Linked DNA regions of Oryzias latipes. The protein of the gene in region 1 binds, or shares a complex with, the protein of each later gene. Links are inferred from orthologs where the notes say so. Each region holds a gene or a part of one and is shown on either strand. Other genes may lie near its edges.

Evidence for each region.
Region 2: the proteins of ncaph2 (region 1) and ncapg2 are in contact, whole or in part, in a cryo-EM structure (PDB 9F5W), measured with the Homo sapiens proteins. The link is inferred for Oryzias latipes from reciprocal best matches to the Homo sapiens genes NCAPH2 and NCAPG2. Residues at the interface, in NP_689512.2 of Homo sapiens: Pro316, Trp317, Gln318, Ser319, Leu320, Pro322, Phe323, Asp324, Ser325, Leu326, Glu327, Ser328, Lys329, Pro330, Phe331, Lys332, Lys333, Gly334, Arg335, Pro336, Tyr337, Ser338, Val339, Glu344, Gln360, Asp361, Phe362, Gln364, Trp365, Tyr366; in NP_001268861.1 of Homo sapiens: Lys248, Leu251, Gln252, His292, Ile294, His295, Leu296, Pro297, Arg299, Ser300, Val302, Lys340, Ala341, Arg342, Asn343, Ser344, Glu345, Val346, Pro388, Tyr389, Pro390, Arg393, Gly425, Glu426, Ala428, Phe429, Asp430, Thr431, Ser432, Arg437.

What each region holds. Positions count from the first base shown.
Region 1 is NC_019881.2:24,033,196-24,043,522, reverse strand, and holds the start of ncaph2 (condensin-2 complex subunit H2), read left to right. Parts: upstream 1-4,498; 5' UTR 4,499-4,749; intron 4,750-5,266; 5' UTR 5,267-5,316; coding exon 5,317-5,424; intron 5,425-5,741; coding exon 5,742-5,843; intron 5,844-5,913; coding exon 5,914-5,975; intron 5,976-6,061; coding exon 6,062-6,140; intron 6,141-6,245; coding exon 6,246-6,302; intron 6,303-8,671; coding exon 8,672-8,751; intron 8,752-8,821; coding exon 8,822-9,071; intron 9,072-9,142; coding exon 9,143-9,214; intron 9,215-9,451; coding exon 9,452-9,515; intron 9,516-9,589; coding exon 9,590-9,691; intron 9,692-9,790; coding exon 9,791-9,835; intron 9,836-9,904; coding exon 9,905-9,975; intron 9,976-10,048; coding exon 10,049-10,163; intron 10,164-10,234; coding exon 10,235-10,309; intron 10,310-10,327. UniProt on the Homo sapiens protein: Regulatory subunit of the condensin-2 complex, a complex that seems to provide chromosomes with an additional level of organization and rigidity and in establishing mitotic chromosome architecture.
Region 2 is NC_019878.2:19,842,919-19,851,824, forward strand, and holds the end of ncapg2 (condensin-2 complex subunit G2), read right to left. Parts: coding exon 8,890-8,906; intron 8,815-8,889; coding exon 8,744-8,814; intron 8,666-8,743; coding exon 8,512-8,665; intron 8,428-8,511; coding exon 8,254-8,427; intron 8,173-8,253; coding exon 8,056-8,172; intron 6,164-8,055; coding exon 6,017-6,163; intron 5,258-6,016; coding exon 5,158-5,257; intron 5,046-5,157; coding exon 4,843-5,045; intron 4,764-4,842; coding exon 4,629-4,763; intron 4,537-4,628; coding exon 4,433-4,536; intron 4,356-4,432; coding exon 4,255-4,355; intron 4,157-4,254; coding exon 4,057-4,156; intron 3,979-4,056; coding exon 3,927-3,978; 3' UTR 3,659-3,926; downstream 1-3,658. Other genes in the region: ptprn2 (receptor-type tyrosine-protein phosphatase N2), read right to left, coding at 2,866-2,950. UniProt on the Homo sapiens protein: Regulatory subunit of the condensin-2 complex, a complex which establishes mitotic chromosome architecture and is involved in physical rigidity of the chromatid axis.

The DNA.
Region 1 (10,327 bases):
AGGAACCGACACAGGAACCAGATGTCTGCTCCTGTCTGCCTCAGCTCATCAGCAATGGATCTGATGAGAACCAGAACCAGGTCAGAATAGGAACCTAAATGAGCTCAGACTCTAAACCAGCTCAGAACCAGATCCATCTTTGAATCTGAACCAGAGACACACAAAAACAGAGACACAAAAACACGCACGTACACACACAGACTCAGATACTGGTCAGTGTTTTCACCACAAAGGATGAAGAAGAGCTCAGCTCCTCCGCTAGAAGTGTTCCGGATAAACTTATTTTTAGTCACAGCTGACCCCCACCCTCCCCAAAGACATTTATTCCAGCTGTCAGATCAGCAGAGCAAGTCCCGGGAGAGGAAGACTTCCAGAAGCACATCTTCCTCCTCCTCATTCATGTTCATCCAGTCTGGGTAATGGGCACACTTTAGGACACAGAGGAAGAACAGAACATTAAACAGAACTGAAGAATCCAGTTCAACCTGTTTAAACACCATTGAATCTGGTTCAGTTCATTCTGAATTGGTCCAGTTTGTTCACCGTCACCCTGATCAGATAAGCTTCATCATCATCATCTTCATTATCTCCTCTTCTGACCCGCTGCACCGATGTTACAGGCAAACAGGAGGACAGAGGACCCCCATCTGGACCCCCATGTGCACAACACGGCAATGGGGGAACCAGAATCTGGACACTTTATGTACACAAAAGTCACAAACAAAAAGCTGCAACAAAGTCAGCCGAAAAAAAGAGAAAATGAGAAGAAAAACAAACTAAAAAGTATAAAATAGAGAAATGACGACATTCATCCAGAGAAACGATTCAAGTTCCACAGCTCTATAATCAATTATTTTTAAGACATTTCAGAAATTTTTCAAGAAAAAGATTGTTTTTAAAACACAAAAACATTTTGTTTAAAAAAATCATTTATGAATAAAAACATAATTGTTAAAAAATAAACTTAAACGTAGTAGTATGTTTAGGGGATGTCATCTGAACTTGGTTTTAAAGTTAGAAGACGTTTCACTTCTTATCCAAGAGGTTTTGTCAATTCTGAATTAGCTGGTCAAAAAGCTGGTATATATGCGCTCATGGGGGAGGAGTCAGACCTGAAACTGGATGGTATTGTCAACTTAGCCTACATGGTTTAAGGTCGTTAAGAGTCCTTTGTCCTCAGCTGGGGGTTGGGGAGCCAGTGACTCCCTCCCCAAACTGGTCAGCTATTAACGACCCAGGTGGAACTGGTTTGGTTTGTTTGGGTTTCAGAACACTGCCGTAGATGGATGGAAGAATAAACCTGAGACACTAGAGGAGACACGCCCGCTTTAGAAGCCTGGCCGACGGTGGCGAAGCGCGACACAATCTTGGTGAGGTGGACGACGCCCACATGACAATGATTTCTATTGCTTTTAGTGGTGTCTAAGTAGCTTTTATGTACTGTATATATGTTTACATTTATATATATTTATACATATATGTAAATACATTATATTTATACATAATATATAGATATGTCATTTGTTGTTGTTAAAGAAGAGAAACAGTCAGCCTTAAAAGCTCAAACTTGAATGAAAATCCATTGTTGCAGGACTTCTTACTAATAAAAAATTTATTACAAAGAAATTTTAAAAATAATTTCTAAATATTTAGAAGTTTTATACCTCTTTGACATGTAATTTAAATTATTTAGAAAAACCCAACAATAAGTCAATAATAATAATAATAATAATAATAATAATAATAATAATAATAATAATAATAATAATAATAATAATAATTAATAATAATAATAATAATAATAATAATAAATCAATATTAAGTAAATACAAACAATAAATAAATAATAAGTCAATAAATAATGAAAAAAGTATATAATAATAATAATAATAATCATAATAATAAAAATAATAATAATACAATAATAAAATAAATATTCAAAAGAAGTCCAAAAGTAAACAATAGATTTACCCTAAAAAAACAACAAGGAAAAACAATAGATTTACTGATTCATGTTAGTGATCAGTTTGTGTAACACTGATGTTTTGGTGTCAGGTTTCAAGCAAACAGTCTGGCCTCTCATCAAAATCTGTTTCCACAAATGTTTTAAACTTATCCAGACTGTATTACTAGTTGGTACCACAGTGATCCATCTGGGTTAGTTCTTTTGATAGTAAGGCCCACTTTTTCCTGAAGTCTGAATCCATTAGAAACCTGCAAGAAAAGTTCAGTCACTGAGTCAGAAATGTATAAATCTATATTACTATAATAGCCTAGTATGCTGTATACAGGTTTAGCAAAATAAAATGTACATTTATGTCGACAGGAAATTATCCGTACATCATGCAGCATGTTGATAACAGCCCTGCAGCATCATGGATGTCTACATGAGTACGATTAATGTGTGTCTCTTTCGGCTTTTCCCATCAGGGGTCGCCACAGCGAACAAGTCGCATGGTAAACTTGGCAATGTTTTACGCCGGATGCCCTTCCTGACGCAACCTTCTCAAACCGGGCTTGGAACCGGCACAGGGGTAGAGAAGGGAACAGGGAGCAGCCCGGAGTCGAACCCTGGTTTCACGGACGGAAGGCGCCGCAAACCAGCACGAGCTAAACCGGCTCCCGTACATGAGTACGATTAATGAAGCCCCTAAAAAAATCAAAATACTTACCCGTAACATTATATGCCTTCCTCCTTCATGGACTCATTTCTCTGATTTTGGCAGTTGAAACCCAAACAATGAACTGGTATTATGCAAAAAATGTGTTCACATGCACTGCAGTAGTAACTTGACCTCACCAAGATGGCGGTGCTCTCTTCCCATGAGGAACCACGTGATGTCTCCTCTAGTGATAGAACTCATTGGTTCCAACTACCCCTGGCTCCAGCCTGCAGAACTGCACAACATAGTGGAATGCTGAAACGCTGAGGAATGTGAACACGCTGTGGAATGTTAACCCCGCCCACGCTGAGCCCGTCTTCTTTGGTTTCACAAGTTTCCATGTGCAATATTGCCACCTACCAGTTTTTAAGGAGTTTTTCCTTACCGTGAAGGGGGGGTCTAAGGGCAGGAATATCAGTTTAGATTAATCTGTTTTGTTAAGGTTTAGTATTAATCCTAATGCATTCTTTGTGTTCATGATCCCTTTTTCATTGTATGTTTACCTTACAATTACCGGTATGAAGCCCATTGAGACGTCTGTAATTCGAATTGGCGCTAAATAAAAAAACATTTTTTAATTGAATTAGAGAAATTATACAGTGATTGCTGTCTTCTCATGCCTTTTACAAGTTTCCATGTGCATGTATTAGGGAGTTAATAAATTTTGTCTGGCCTCACGGACTCAAAAAAATAACTCATTGGATGAACTCAATTTAATTGTGGGCAGGATTTCCATCCAATAAATATGAGTAACCCCACCTCAAAGAAAATTCTTCCATGTAACGAAATATAATTGAGTTAATCGAACTTAATTTTATCAAGAAAGGCAAAGGAAAAAAACATGCATCAGCAATCAGAAGCCAGCCTCGAACTCAGAACCTCTGGATGTTAAACCCACTAACTAATCCACTGAGCTAACACTTTTGTGATGTTTTCAAGCCGCCTGTAAAAATAAATAGATTTATTATTTACATAAATGAGGCTCGTCGTGTTTCGTCTTATTGGGAGAAGCCGAGTTGAAACGATTTCATGGCACAGTTTCGTTTTTTTACGTGGAAAAAACGAACGAAAGTTTTCACTTTTGAAAAGTCAAAGGATTTGAAGGACCAAAAGTCAAACCAGGCATTAGACGAAGGAGTTGAACATTTTAATAGTTGAATAGTTAAAATAGGTGAAAAATTGTTGCCGTAAGACGGCAAAAAGAATAAATAAAGAGAAACAGGAAAACAGCATTCAACAGCATGCCCCTTACTTGAACTCAATTATTCTGGATTACTGGAGTTGTCGGGGAAATTATTAATACATTTTGTGTTAGGTCAATTAAATGTAGATAAATTCTTTTAAAATAAATATTTTTAAATAAAACAAACACAATTATATTGTGTTACATGAAAGAGGGGCTTGAATCATTTTTTTGAGTGATAAAAAAACATTGCACCATTCAAATTTTCTTCCCCTCTGTCCTCTTTCTTCCTCATTCAATTCACAATGACACAAAATGTGCTCCACTTATTCTTCCCCTTTCCTGCAATCACAACTGCACTGATGAAGGTGAATCAAATGCACGGGCTCAACGTGGGCGGGGTTAACATTCCACAGCGTGTTCACATTCCTCAGCGTTCCAGCATTCCACTACGTTGAGCCATTCTGCAGGCTGCAGACAATTCTGCAGGCTGCAGCCTGGGCTTACTCGGTGGTTCTGCTGGTTCTGACCTGATTGATGTAAACACGTCAACCCGTTTAACAACTGGAATCTGTCAACAGTTCAACTTTATTCACAGCTTCTGCTACAGGTTTATTTCACTGAATATTACAGGAAAAGGTCCGTTTGACTGCGTTTGAGCTGATCCGAAATCATTCCCGGTGCAGTACCGCCCCGCGGCCACAGGGGCAGCAGACACCAAACAAGAGCGACGAATAAGAACTTCCGGCCGCGCGGGTAATTTGAGTGGAAACAGGCGCGAGCGTTAAGTCCGGTCAATTCCTTTGCTTAACCTTCCCTGTGGGCGCGTGCGTCTCCACAGGTGTTTTGGTGACGGACGTCTGACTGCTTTCCCGCTCTGCTGGAGAACTGCCCTCTTTGCAGGTAGACTTTCCACTTTTCATTCCCGGAGTTTAGAAGGTCGACAGTGACGTGAGGACACCGACCGACAGTCAGTGCAGACTAGAGAACAGAGTTGTTAGTGTTCAGGTGTTTTCATGAGACGTTCGGGGTTTTTTATGAGACGTTCGGGTGTTTCTCTGAGACGTTCAGTTGTTTTCGTGAGACGTTCGGGTGTTTCTCTGAGACGTTCAGGCGTTTTCGTGCGACGTTCAGGCGTTTTCGTGCGACGTTCAGGCGTTTCTCTGAGATGTTCAGGCGTTTCTCTGAGATGTTCAGGCGTTTTCGTGAGACGTTCAGGCGTTTTCGTGCGACGTTCAGGCGTTTTCGTGCGACGTTCAGGCGTTTCTCTGAGATGTTCAGGCGTTTTCGTGAGACGTTCAGACACACACTGGAGTCTTTGGTCGCCTCCACTCTTCTGGGTCCAGAATGGAGGTTCTGGGTTGGTGGTTTATCCGTGGCCCAAACGCCCTTCAGTGTTTGTCCCGGTTCCCTCCTGCAGATCCGACCCGTTCTTTGAGTTCTCCAGAGTCTGGAGGGGGCGGAGTCATCATGGAGTCCACAGAGAGCCGCTTTGCTCACCTGCTGCAGCCCATCAGAGAACTGACCAAGAACTGGGATGTGGACGTGGCGTCCCAGCTTAACGACTACCTGGACGAGGTAAGACGGAGACGAGCGCCACCTGTTTGGGGGGGGCTCAGAAGAACCCCAGCTTCTCTGACGTAAACTGAAGCTGACCAAGAACCAGGTAGCCACACCTGCTGGAGCTTTATTCAGAATCACCTGGACTCCCAGCAGCTGAGTTAGATGAACCTGAAACAGATTTAGATGACCTTCATCATGAAAACACTGGTTTCACTGAAGGAGGCGGAGTGCAGCTTGACTCTGATTGGCTGCTGTGATCATGTGATGCCCCCCTCCCCACAGTGGCTCCCCCTCTGTGAAGGTAACACGTTAACTTCCCTGTGTGTCTGCAGCTGGATGAGATGTGCATCACCTTCGACGGAGGAAAAACCCGACTGAACTTCGCTGAAGCTGCTTTGCTTATTCAGGGCTCGGCCTGCATCTACAGCAAGAAGGTGGGCGCAGTCATGTGACGGGTCATGTGACCCAAATGGACCACTGATGGAGCCTCTCTGACCATTGCAGGTGGAGCTGCTGCATCATCTGGTTTTTCAGACGCTGGAGTTCATCAGTGAAAAAAACAAGAAGTCAGTTCTGCTTAAGCAGTTTTGCCGCCATGTTGTCCAGGGCCTCACTGTTCTTCTGCCCGTGTCCACCGATGTCCACCTGACAGGCGGAGCCAGGAGGCGGAGACTGAGAAGAGCGGCGGAAGCAGAATGACGAGCAACAGGGACGATGATGGCCAGGATATGGTAAGAAAAGTCACTTCCTGTTTAATCCCTGTTTTGTTGATTGCCTACTCCTGGCAGCTGCTGCAAAGCATGTTGGGTAACATGAGATGTTTTTGTCTACATCAGTTCAGCCCTCTGGACCTGGATCAGTCACAGAACTGGCATCAGTCTGGTCTGAGTACGGTGAGGAAGCTTCCTATCCATGGGCGAGCTGGGGTTCAACTTCCTGTCTGGCAGGAAGCAGGTTTTTTTTTTCCTCAAATGAACTTTATTAACAAATATTGCACATTCAAAATATCAAACATTGACACTGTACAAAACTCAAAATGTTCACATTTGCCAGGAAAATGAACAAAAAGCCATAATAAAAACAGGCAGAAAACACTAAAACAGAAATAAAGTCTCAACAGTGACCATGTTTCCACTGTTCCAACAGCTATTGACACACAGAATCATTTCTTTAGGAAAATACGTTTTTTTTGTTAGCATATTTACACGTATGAATGGAATATTTGACCATAACTATAAGTAAGTTAACTATCTATGTTTTCTCTGCATTAAATCTCCCTCGTGTAAAATATCCAGAAATATGTTCATAGAATCATTTATAGTTTCACGGGGTTTGTTCTAAAATGAGTCAAATCTTTCCAAAATGTTGGAGTGAAAGAGCAAAACTGATGAGGCACAGTTTCTGGTGAGGAACGATAACATGAGCAGTTTATGTCCAGTTCTTTTTTAAATTCCAGGAAGAATATTCCAGATAGCATGATTAAACTTCCCTGACTTTAAGCCTGAACTCTGGCTGAAATCCACCCGAACTTGCTTACTCTGGGTATGTCGGTTCCAAAAGACCGGATATGAGTTAACGTAATCACGCTCCACTTGGTAACCCTGGGTTAATGCACGTGCACAGCAGGTACATAAAGACATTCTCAATGGATCGCCGCTTTCTGGAGTCACCATGGAAACACGTGGAAAAAAAGAAAGCGCTATACTTCAGTGAGACGGAGTCTGAGATTTTAATGACGCCGTATGAAGATTATACGTCCATCAAAAAAGTAACACGGCTGCATCATCAGCAAAAGAGAGTTTCTGCTTGGAGACAAAGAACAAAGTAAACGCACGAGTTTCTGATCTTATTTCCATTTTCTTTGTGACGCAGAAATATATATATATATATAACTTATCCAATTTTGCCAACTTAAATGAATTACTTCTATTGGTAACAAATAATTGAGTTAAAATTATTCAACGTAATTTCTTACGTCTATAAAACTCAATAATTGTTTATGCAACTCAAATTTACGTATTTATCTAACTAAATGTCATATTACTCCAATTCAATTAATATTTTTTCCATCTTAATTATATTTCTTGAACTCTCAAATGTCTAAGTTTGAGCCGGCAGATATTCTCATTTGTATAACAATAAAAAGGACGAAACAAAATGCACAAAGTGTATAAATTGATTAAATAATCAATAATCCTCTCCCTCCCTCTCACTCATGGTGCAGAGACGTAAGCAAAGTAGGACAAAATAACTCGACAAAACACAGTAAAACAGCTAAACAACTAAACACATTTGGTCACAAAGCCACACTTAAATCCAAATCCGTCCAGACAGGCAAAGGGAATGGTATCCCACAATCCTTTGCGGTGCCGATCTAACAGCACCTACTTAATTGAATTAATTTGAATGAAAGTAAAACAACTGTCTGAAAACTACGTTTTATTTTTAATCTAACTTAACAAAAAAAATGATTTATCTTAACTGAAGCAAATAATGAAGTTAGATCAAAGTATAAAGTTTCTCTTTCCAACATCCATATGTGGTCTTATCACTCTCTCATGGTGGAAAAAGTATTATCTGAGCTTCTTCATCCACTAAATCATCTTCAAATGGACACGCCATGCTGCTTCACCTCTCTGAAAACAAACTAACCTTCAACTAAACCTGCTCCAGACCAGGTTATGTTCAGAGCATGAGTTGCTATGGCAACTTGACCTACCCTGAAACATACCTCCATTTCTGGAACCGAAAGCTGAGGTTATCAACTTCCTTAGCCTCAAACTTACCGTGGGAGCTAGCAGAACCTGCTTCCTGGAATACCCCCCCCGGTGTCTTCAGAAAAGAGGCCGCGGCGTTACCTGTTAGGAGGTACACAGGTGTTACCTGTTAGGAGGTACACAGGTGTTACCTGTTAGGAGGTACACAGGTGTTACCTGTTGCGAGGTACACAGGTGTTACCTGTTGCGAGGTACACAGGTGTTACCTGTTGCGAGGTACACAGGTGTTGCCTGTTGGGAGGTACACAGGTGTTGCCTGTTGGGAGGTACACAGGTGTTGCCTGTTGGGAGGTACACAGGTGTTGCCTGTTGGGAGGTACACAGGTGTTGCCTGTTGGGAGGTACACAGGTGTTGCCTGTTGGGAGGTACACAGGTGTTGCCTGTTGGGAGGTACACAGGTGTTGCCTGTTGGGAGGTACACAGGTGTTGCCTGTTGGGAGGTACACAGGCCGTAAGCGTGTGATTGCTGTCATGTGACCCTCAGACCGTGGTCGTCACTCCTCTTCCTCCCGAGTCTCTGATTCCTCCAGAAAGCCAGGAGAAGCAGAAGCTGCCCCTCATCAGGTGGGTGGAGCGGCAGGGTCTGACCCGCCGGGCCGTGCGCTCTGCTCACAGCCGTCTCTTCGTGTGTCAGTGTGAAGGGGGAGGTGCTGTGCAGCCAGAGGGACTTTCGGATTAACCTGTTCTTCCCGGGGGAGGGGGGCGTGGTCTTACTGAGGCTGCGCTCTGCGCTGGAGCTGGACCTGCATCCCGCCAACTTCTTGCATCAGGATTCCTCTGTTGATGCCTCCATGGGTGCAGACGTGCCCCCTGAGGCAGGAGAAGACTGCCGTCCAGAAGACAGAAGTGACCAGGACCCAGAGCAGCATGTGGACCGGCACCAGGTCTCATCAGAACAGCACAGGTGCTCCACCTGGACGGTCCAGAACCTGAACTTGTTGTGGCTGTGTTGCAGGCTGGGAGCGGCGTCCGAGAGAAACGGCAGATCTTTGCTGAGGAAAGACCCCAGCAGGATGCCCCGCCTCCAGTAGGTCACCTGATTCCACAGACCACTTGTCTGTTCTTCATCCTGCAGATGTGCAGTCCCATCTCCTCTGCCTCGTTTCTGTCAGCCTTCAGGTGAAGGTGTCAGGTGCAGACCGGGCTGTAAGCCGGTCCTCCCGTTTTAGTCAGAGGCGTTTGTAGGACGTCTTTCTTCGTTCTCAGGACTTTCTGAAACGCTTCTCCACAAGTAAACGTCTACCTGAAGGTCTCTCTGTTCCAGGTGAACGTCTGGACGCTCCACGACCCCTACGCTGTCCTCGCCCACGACAAGCCCTTCAGGATGGGTCAGTCAAGGCCGTTCCTCAGCTGGGTGTCACTACACAAAGTTGTGTCCACTCACAGTTGTGTGTCTCCTTAGGGAGGTGCTACAGGGTTCCACACGGTCTGGATGAAGGAGGAAAGAGGAAGAGGAGGTGCCCTTGTCCTCTGCAGGACTTCAGGAGCTGGTTCAGAGGAACCTGTGAGAACTACTGCTCACACTGATGTTTCATGAAAGCCACATCATCATCCTCATGTGTGTGTGTGTGTGTGTGTGCGCGCGGGTGCTCGTGTGCTACAGCTGGTCCTATGGAGAACAAGCTAAAAGGTGGACCCACCTTCACAGGTACACAGCACATCAGGACTCTGGCAAACTGAGAGGCGGGTCTTTTCCTGACTCCACTTCCTGTTTCAGACCTGAACTACATCTACCTGAAGTCACTGAAGGACAAGATCCGGACCAGGAGGAGGCTCAATCGCAGAGTGGTGAGACCTGCCGCACTTTACAAGCCTTCAGTCTGGACCTGAACATGATGATGATTAGGATGACGTCCACCAGGGTCTGGTGATGTCAGAGGATGAGCTGAGGAGAACCTTGCTGCAGCCACAGGAGGTGGGGCTGCAGCAGGAGGGGGATGAGCCTGCAGACGCCTTCAGGGACGCTGACATGTTTGGTAAAAAAGGTTTTGCATCTTTGTGAGACGCCAACGCTTGCAGTACCACGTCTGACCAGCAGTGTGTGCAGGAGAGCACGACCTCTCAGAGGAAGAGTCTCCTGAAGATCCTGCAGACTTTGCTGGAGGAGCTCAGCACATTGCAGGTAAAGTTGACCCGGTTT
Region 2 (8,906 bases), on another chromosome or scaffold:
TTTCCAGCCTTAGTTCAAACAAGGTCTTAGCTTCACAGTAACCTTTAAATAAAGGCTTACAGGGATGGCTGCCAATCCTTAACAAACTGCATTTCCTTGAAAAAAAAAATGCTATAACAGGTCACATGATTAAAATCAAATGATGTTTGCTCAATTTTTTTTTTTTAAAGTTAGCTCAGGGGATCAAAGGAGCCCAGATGCTGGTTGGTTGCATTGGGATTCTCTCAATTATTTATCACTGATTTGTGATTTACCTACAGCGCCTCTCAGGGAGAGAGATGACTGGTGCGTCAGGAGAACAGAATGTCGTCATCAAAAGTGACGCAGCATCTTTTCAAGGGCTGGCAAATTGAAATGTGAATAGGCTGGTTTTTCTGGTTTCTGCTAGCCTTGATCCTTTATTAAAATGACTCACTCTTTGCACTAATGGAAAACTGACAGCCTCCAGCTGCAGGAAAGATAAAACCCCAACGCACAATGTCCATTTGATCCTAAACAAATAACTGAACAAAATGTCTCTTGAAAGAAATTAGAATCTAAGAAAATATTAATTTCTTGCTTTTTTTTCTAGGTGGAGAGGTATTGTATGACACTACCAACTCAGTGTTAAGTTAGAAAAGGGTGAACCAACAGCCCATCCTTATCCAGGCATTATTTTGAAGACATTCCAGTTCCACATTAAATTGAATTTTTCTCAAGTAAGGAAATATTTATATTTTTCAACTTTCTAAAAAAACAATGAGTAACTTAAGGGGTTCCTTATTCACAGCATTTTTACCTTCTCACAAGAAGTCAAATCTTTTGGGAAAAGCTCACATCAGCATCCAATTCTTAAAGTTGACTTCAAGCTCCAGATAATCAAACACTTGCTTTTAGGCAGGTGATCCCACCTGTTAATGAATCAGAAATCAAGGGGGGATTGGAAGCACCTGGCTCTTTAAATGCTTTGAAAGGAGTAAAGGCATTTTGGATTTAATATCTTCAAATAAAATCAAAATTGGCCTATTTATGGTTGTGAAGAAATGTTTTCAAAATATTTTCCACATTTGCCAAATTATATTAACTGCAGTTGAATACAACAAAATAATACAATTTCTTTTCATTTCTTCTGTTTCAGCCAATTTTAAATAGTCTCTACAGGAAGACTCACACTCCAGTTTCAAAATCTAGCAGTTTAATTATTGTGACACGTGTTTATGCCTTAAAGCCAAACATCCAATAGGCCACCAACAAAGCCGCCACATACTATTTTTATTTTTTCTTCTCTCTTCGCTCAATATCGTTGGATAGGAAAGTTAGGGCACCAAAATGTATGTTTTTATAGCCTTTGTACAAAACTGAAAAATACTCTTTAAATTTAGACACTACAAATATCAAAGGTTGCTATGAGGGACTATGTCCTGCTGGTTTTATCCAGTTACCCCCATCCTGAGTAATTCAAATTATATGGATCAGGTGTTCTGCCGGTAAGATGCTGAAAGGGATGGAGCAGTTGGAAATGAAACGGGTCAATGGCTTGTGAGCTCTGAAGTCTGTCACCCCTGATCTGTAGTGTTTTCAGAAAACGGTCCAAAAACGCATATACTTGGCCAGCGGCGGCCATGTTGGCATCCAAAGACCTTGTAAAGGCTTGTTAAATCAGTTTAAGTGGGTCGATTTGAACTGCAACCATGTTTGAATGGATGAATGACTGACTGGATGTTGCCTAAAACAAATTTGTTGAAGCTACTTTTTTTTCCAAACATTATTGCAGGAGACGCTGCAACTGCAGAAATTTTAACCTTGTCTAACATTAAACTCACAGCCAGTATAAATGTCTACAGCAGTGTTTCCTCGGATACATACCTTTATTGAACCAGAACAATGAGATTTAAAATTTTCAAATGGGTTGTGATAATTCTTAGTGGGACTCATTACCAAAAATAAATAAAAAAAATAAAAATAAAATCGTCTCTTCTTTAGAAGTGCATTGACAATTGAAACCTTAATATTTAAGACAATTAGAGAAACAAAATGTGATGGTTTAAGGAGAAAAAAAATTCAGGGAAGAAGACCAATCTCTTACTGATGACTAATGTCTAAATCTGTGATCAAAAAACAATAAAGATTGAAAGAAAGGAATTAAATATTCTCCTGTTCTAAATATACAGGACGGTATGGAGCTCAGTAGCTGTATGAATCATCAGTCAGCCGGAAATCTATATTTGCCTCTGGCTCATAATAAAGTTTGTGCTGTAGTGTTCTGGCTGCTGACTGTAGACCAGAAGGTGCTAAAGAAGTGCTACATTCACAGTGAAACGGTGGGAAACCGGATTTCAACTGGCAGACCAAAGCTGTGAGGTGGATTTCCATCCCTCTATGTACCAAAGTGGTCATTCATGTTTTTCCTGCATTTAAAACATTACAGGTGGAACCAACAAAGGTTCCTGAAATGTCACACTTTCTTTACATGACACTGTAATTTTGTTACAAAGCAGTTAAAAGTAATTTGTGCGCATTTCATTCACTGGTTATTGTTAAATAAAGTCATATTTGTTGTATAGCACGTTTAAAAAAAAGTATTGGAAGAAACACTTTGTGCGTAAGAGCCTGAAAGATTACGTAACTTTGTCTGATAGATCTTTTTTTTATCACTACAGGAAACCTCGAGTTCTCAACTTTCATCGGCTTAAAACTAAATGTTTCAATTCACGTGGGACTCATCTGAACTTTTGTCCAGAGACTACATGTTTTAATCCAGTCATGCATTATAAGAGACTGTTTGAAGGATTCAGCACCATGGACAGAGGCTGAAACGAACCCGCAACACTATTTGGATCAAAAAACAACAAATAATAGAAAAAAATAGATGTAATATTTACTTACCGAATTTTCTATCGGCGAGGGCAGATGAGGGGCAGAGGCTTACAGCCAATGCAGTGAAGAAGATGGGACACCACCGCGAATCCATGCCGCTCCTGCTCAAGAAGCCGAACCCGAATCCATGGCTCGCTAAAACGGCATGTTTGGACGCACGCGGGGGTCTGCTGCTCGGTCTGGGGGGTCTTAAATTGGCATTTTTTTAAAGGTATGTTGAGGGGTAACAACACCGACGTTGTTTCAGCACCACAAACAGCAACCAGCCTCACAGAGGAGCCCCGCCCAGGTTACTGACGTCAAACAGACACATGAGATGAGGAGAGCGCTCTGAATGGTTTTTACCGGGAGGCGTGAACGCACCACGCCAAAAGAAACCTAAAAAAAAACACCTGATTACTATACTTGTTACAGGCATGACAATGGTGTTGTGAGTTTGCTTTATTTACTGAACAGAGATGTGCACTATCAGCACCTGAAAATTGAATACACCATTTATGGAAAATAAAATATAATTTAGAACATATTTCTAAGCTTTGACCTCCAAAACACTCAAACAAACCTAAATAATCTATAAAATTTGAATCATGTAGTTCATATAAGCATTTTTGCATAATGAGATAAAAAATATTCCTCTATAGGGGTGAAAGCTGTGATAGTTACCCAACAGACACATCTTACTTATATTGATTTATAGTTTGTAATGATTAAAAACTAGATATAAAAACATGCAGTGATGTTTTGATTTACAAGAAAACATGTAAATTAGGATCGTGGAAAAAAACAGACAACAATTCTGTTCATTTAAGTCACCATGTTTTTAAACATTGTCAAAGCTTTTTGCTTTGACAAAATAAGACATGCGCACTGTGAGGAGGGAAGTAAACAGAGAAAAGAAGGAAATACAAAAGCTTTAGTATATATTTAAAAATCCATTTAGAGAAACTGGAACATTATATGCTTGTTTTCCGTCAAGTTCATCCAATATTGTGATTTCTTTGCTTCTAATTACGACACAAATATGAAAAATGAGGAAATAGCTTCCTGTTCACCATGGCAACAAATTGATGTTATAAATGCAGGATCTCATTCAAAGTCTTCACTGAAGATTCATAGATGGCCCTGAAGCAACAAAGGGAGTGAAATTAGTCAAATGAAGAATTACCAGTACGAAAAAGATGCTTTTTTCCTGTTTCTCACCTCTGGATTTCTCCATCGTCTTCATCAGAGATGGCGTATTTGTGGATCTGCTGCTGGATGGATACCGCTGCACTCTTCAGCCCAGCTTCAGAACCTTTGGCTAAAGATGGACAAACACAACATTTATACATATATTTATATAGATTTTCTTTAACATGAGCTTGATTTTAAAATAAATATTCTGGTGACTCAACCCACCCCCCTTGATAACTGCTAAAACACGCAGAACGGCAGCCAGCTCAGAGAGGCTGCTTATGGCTTCAGAGTCCAAAGATGAGCCCACCTCTGTCAGAAATGACCTAAGAGAAGAAAGAAAGCATTTCAGCATCTATGACATGTTTTTCATGAATGTTTTAAAATACTTTTAAGGCCATACTTTGTAATCTGTGGTGACTTCAGAATGACCGACAGCAATGTGCTGGACAAAGGAGGCATCTCATCTACTGACTGTGGGGCGATCACTTCCTCTGGATGAGCAATCTGATAAAAATCCAAATACTAAAAGCTTAGAAGAGGCATTTCTCTCATTAACTTCAATTACACTTTTTTATTTTAGCCGAGTCATCTCAAACCTTTTGGAGAACACGTCTCTTCTCCACAATGATGATGGCAAAAATGGTAGAGAGGACTCCACTGAGAGGTTCTCTGTCCCAGGTTTGTGCCACTTGGAGGAAGTCTCTCATACCCGCGACGACTGACAGACACAGCTGAACCAGGAGACACGAAGAACAGCAACCTCAAAGAAATGTAACGCCTTCACAAAAGAGAGTAAAGAGGACAACATGCCTGTTTTCCCCCCTCTGGATCCTTTCGAAGCCTCTTTGCCAAAACCTCGATTATCTTCTGGAAAATATTGGCCACCACCCCCAGAATGACAGCAGTTGGATCCTCCTTGCTCTCCTGATTCTGGTTGTTGTCCTCGGGTACTTTACTGTTTGCCACCTCCTTTAGAATCAGCAGCACAGCAGGGATGCATCGATAGCCTCCCTCTGCACGCGTGGAAAGAGGTTTTTCTTTTTTCCCATTTTCATCAAAGCACAACGGTTCACCAGATTATATGGAAGAGTTCTGACCCCGAACAGGCACTTTTAAAACCCTCACCTGAGAGGAGGAGGACTGAGCACAGGTGGAGGATTTCACTGTAGAACTTCTCATCGCCCAAATCCACAAGAATAACATCACAACACACGGTTAAGAAGCTCTGGAAAAAATGTACAAATGTTAGACGTTAGAAACACTTTTGATATCAGTCAGACTGGAGAAACAGTGAACTAAGAAATGGCAAAGAATAAGAAATAAAACGGAGAGTTTTGTACATGGTGAGTGGGGACAGAAGCAGAACGAGACAAAATTCACTCAGCAGAACTGCAAGATGTGGAAGGAGGAGGTTAAAAAGACAAAATTCTGTACTAAAAACTGTTTTTATCTGCAGGGGAAATGTGCTGCTCTGAAAGGAAGAAGCCAGAAGTTGTAGGAACAAAAGCATTTGATTGAATCTGCCTGCTGGGAAATCACATCACAGGGTTTGACAATAATCTGCATAAATAACCTTGCTAAAATGCGCCGGCGTTTATCCGCATTTCACTCTTTCTTTATGAAAAGGAGAAAAAAAAAACTGGAGCTGCACGGATTGCAAAAGCCTCCGACTGTCGTAGACGGAAAGCGAACAGGCGTTTATTAAAGCGATAGGCCTCCCGCTGGTGTGATTCTGAGGGGAAAGACATGGCTGCTCGTACGCACACATGACACATTTGCTTATGCGAGCTAAGACCACACCCCTGAGTGACACAAACACAGCCTCATATCTCGTTGTGAGACATTTTCTCCGCTTGACAGATAAAAACACTTGATTCTTGGCAAACAGGCTACATTTTCTGCATTAATCTGGAAAAGATCAACACTAAAATCCCTTCTAAATATTGTCCAGCTGTGTATAAAATTAAGGAAAAGCAGATGTTACCTCAATTATTTGAGCAGCCAGCAACTGTGACTTGTCTGATTCCTCCTGGTTGCTGCCGGTTTGTTTAGTCAGAAAGGGCAGCACCCTGTCTGCTACCCAGACTGCCACATGCTCCAGGGAGAGCAGGTACTCCCGGCCTTCTGTCAGCTAGGAAATAAAGCAAAAGCCTTCGGTTTATTTTCGACAGTAACTTTTTTTACAGCTAAGCAGAAGGAACAGGCTCCTGGCCAGGAAGAAACTGGCTGTTAAAGCAGTCAGCTGGTGAAATGTGTGAAGTCGAAACTGCTCCAGAAGGTGTTGAAGAAAGGAAACGAGAGAAGAATTATTCTTTTACTAATATTGTTTTTGTTATTTATAAATCTGCACATTATCTTCAGCACGCACAAGAGATAAAGATACGTTTTTAACAGGAGTATAAATGTTTACGACGTCAACATTTAGACGTACAAACAGAACATGTCAAAGCAGCAAAAGCTTTTATTCCTTTTACTCACCACTAAAAAGAAACGTTTTTCACTTTATTTACCAAAATAAAAGAAAATTAGTTCTAATAAAGTATTTGCTTTAAAGCAACAAGGTCTACACTTTCATTTAGTTAATTGTTATGTCGATTTTTGGACACATTTGTTTGCCTAACTAGAGGTGTAACAATTAATCGACTTCATTGATTTATACTCTTACGATCCAAACAGGTCGATCTGTCTGGGATAAATTATTAATTGAAGAGAACTATACAATTACTTCAAAATTAAAAATTATACATTATAATTGATATTGGAAAATACAATCCGGATTGAAACACTGTAGTTTTATTTCACTATAATGCAAAAACTACAAAGTGACATCACAGCGGACAACATACGTGATGACAGCAAAAAAACATATCAGTCCATCAATCCAGTTCAGTGTGTGGAAACACTTTGAATGTTCCAATAGTTCGTATTATTTTGGTGTGGAAAAGAACAGTGGGCTGAACTTTAGAAAGGCAAAATGTGAACGGATTTGCCATTAAGTCTTGTTTACTTGCTTGTTTGTACACATATTCAATTTACCGTACACTTGACTATCTTGCAAGAAATGCCAGGAATGTGGAAAACGTCAGCTGCAGTGTTCAGCTGCAGGTATTTATCTCTGAGTCACACCGGTTGAAGTTTCGAAACAGGATTAGGTTCATGAATTGGATTGTTGAAAATGAACCATTATCGACTATAAATCATATCAGCAACCCCAAATTATAGGAATTGAATCGTTAAAATGAATCATTGCACCCCTATGTGTTACCTGTTTTGAAAATACTAGTTATTTTAAATGATTTCAAAACTATTTTATTTATAATTCATAGTAAGCTGCAACTTATCTTTTAAAAATGTTGTTTCATTACCCAGTAATATTGACTGGATGTCATTTATTTCCCCCTAATGATAACTATTTGATTGCTTTCCCCATTAAAGAACTAAATCTTCCTCACAATCTGAAATCTGATCGTTTATTATAAGCATAACAAATTTTAAGCAGTTTTGTCGCAAAAGGATTGTTTTCTTCTGAAACACAGAGAGAGAAAAAGGATTTTTTTTTTCCATGAGCAGACATGAGATGACAGTCTGCATGCTGTTGTTCTTCTCCCCTGCTGTTGAGATGAAGGTTGACAGCACTCGCTATCGTTTCTTTCTGACTCGCTGGAAACACCAAATTCTCCCTCTCCTGCTGCGTTTTATGAGATACGAGATAAAAATAAAAGCACGGGTCAGATCTCCAAGTCATGCTGGTAAATTTAGTCACGCAGATTCAAAGAATTGTTGAAATATTTACAGTCTGGAGCTTTGAGTGCGGCTTTGTCTTCATGAAAATTATTCTTTTTGCCAATATTCTTATTTTTACTGAGATCAGTTCCCACCTGTAATTACCTTTTCAGTAAACTAAAAAGCTAAACTTGTTCATAAAGTAGAAGGAAGGTGCTAAAAGATTGCATATCCATGATCAAGTTGGTTCAGATTGAAAAAATTCAAGTTATAAAAAATATTTAAAAAAATCAAACATACGTTATGTTGTAAATGAGCACCAAGGCGACCGTGGAACATAAACGCTTTCAGTGCCGTCTCCGTGCTGGGACACTCTGGGATTTCTGTGGTGGAGCTGAGGTGACTGTACAACACTGACTGCATTGAGAAAACACAGATTAAGCTGACGACACAAGAGCAAAGACAAAGCTAAATGGATAGAAAATCTATCGATGATACCTTCCAACTGCCCAGCACTGTGTGGAGCTGCTTCAGAGGTTTTTCACCAAGAGCAAGGACTTTATCTCGGGTTGGCGTGTGGCTGAAAAGGTCCTCCAGGTATGCTAGAGCCAGGTCTGGTTTGGCCTCCACACTTTCTTGAATACGAACCTTTCTGCGAGAACCCTCCTTTCCCTGATGTTGATAAGTTGTTTTATTGTTTTACCAAAAAAGCTCTCGAGTCAAAACCAAACCTGCAGGATGACTTTAGTGACTGACCGCTTGCTTGGGAAGAGATGCGCTGAGCCAGTCAGTGATCAGTTCAAGGACATCAGCAGCCTGTCCCCAGCTGCAGATACAGTCCAGCAGCTGGCTGTACTGTTCCGGAGCCACTCCAGACTCCATCTTCCTGAGTCTTGACAGGACTCCACAGCTAGACAGAGAAAAAAAAAGACAAGTGAAGCCAAAAAAAACCCAAAAAAGTACCATATAGAATTCTTCTGAGGCTCACCTAAATGTTGGAACTGCAGCTGGAGGCAGAAATGATGCCAGTTTGATCAGAGGAGCTGTGGCTCGCTCATCCTGAAAAACAGTCAAGTGTGATCAACACTCATCTCATTAAAAAGTATACAAAACAAAACACTGCAGAAGAAATACCTCAAAAGCCTGGAAAT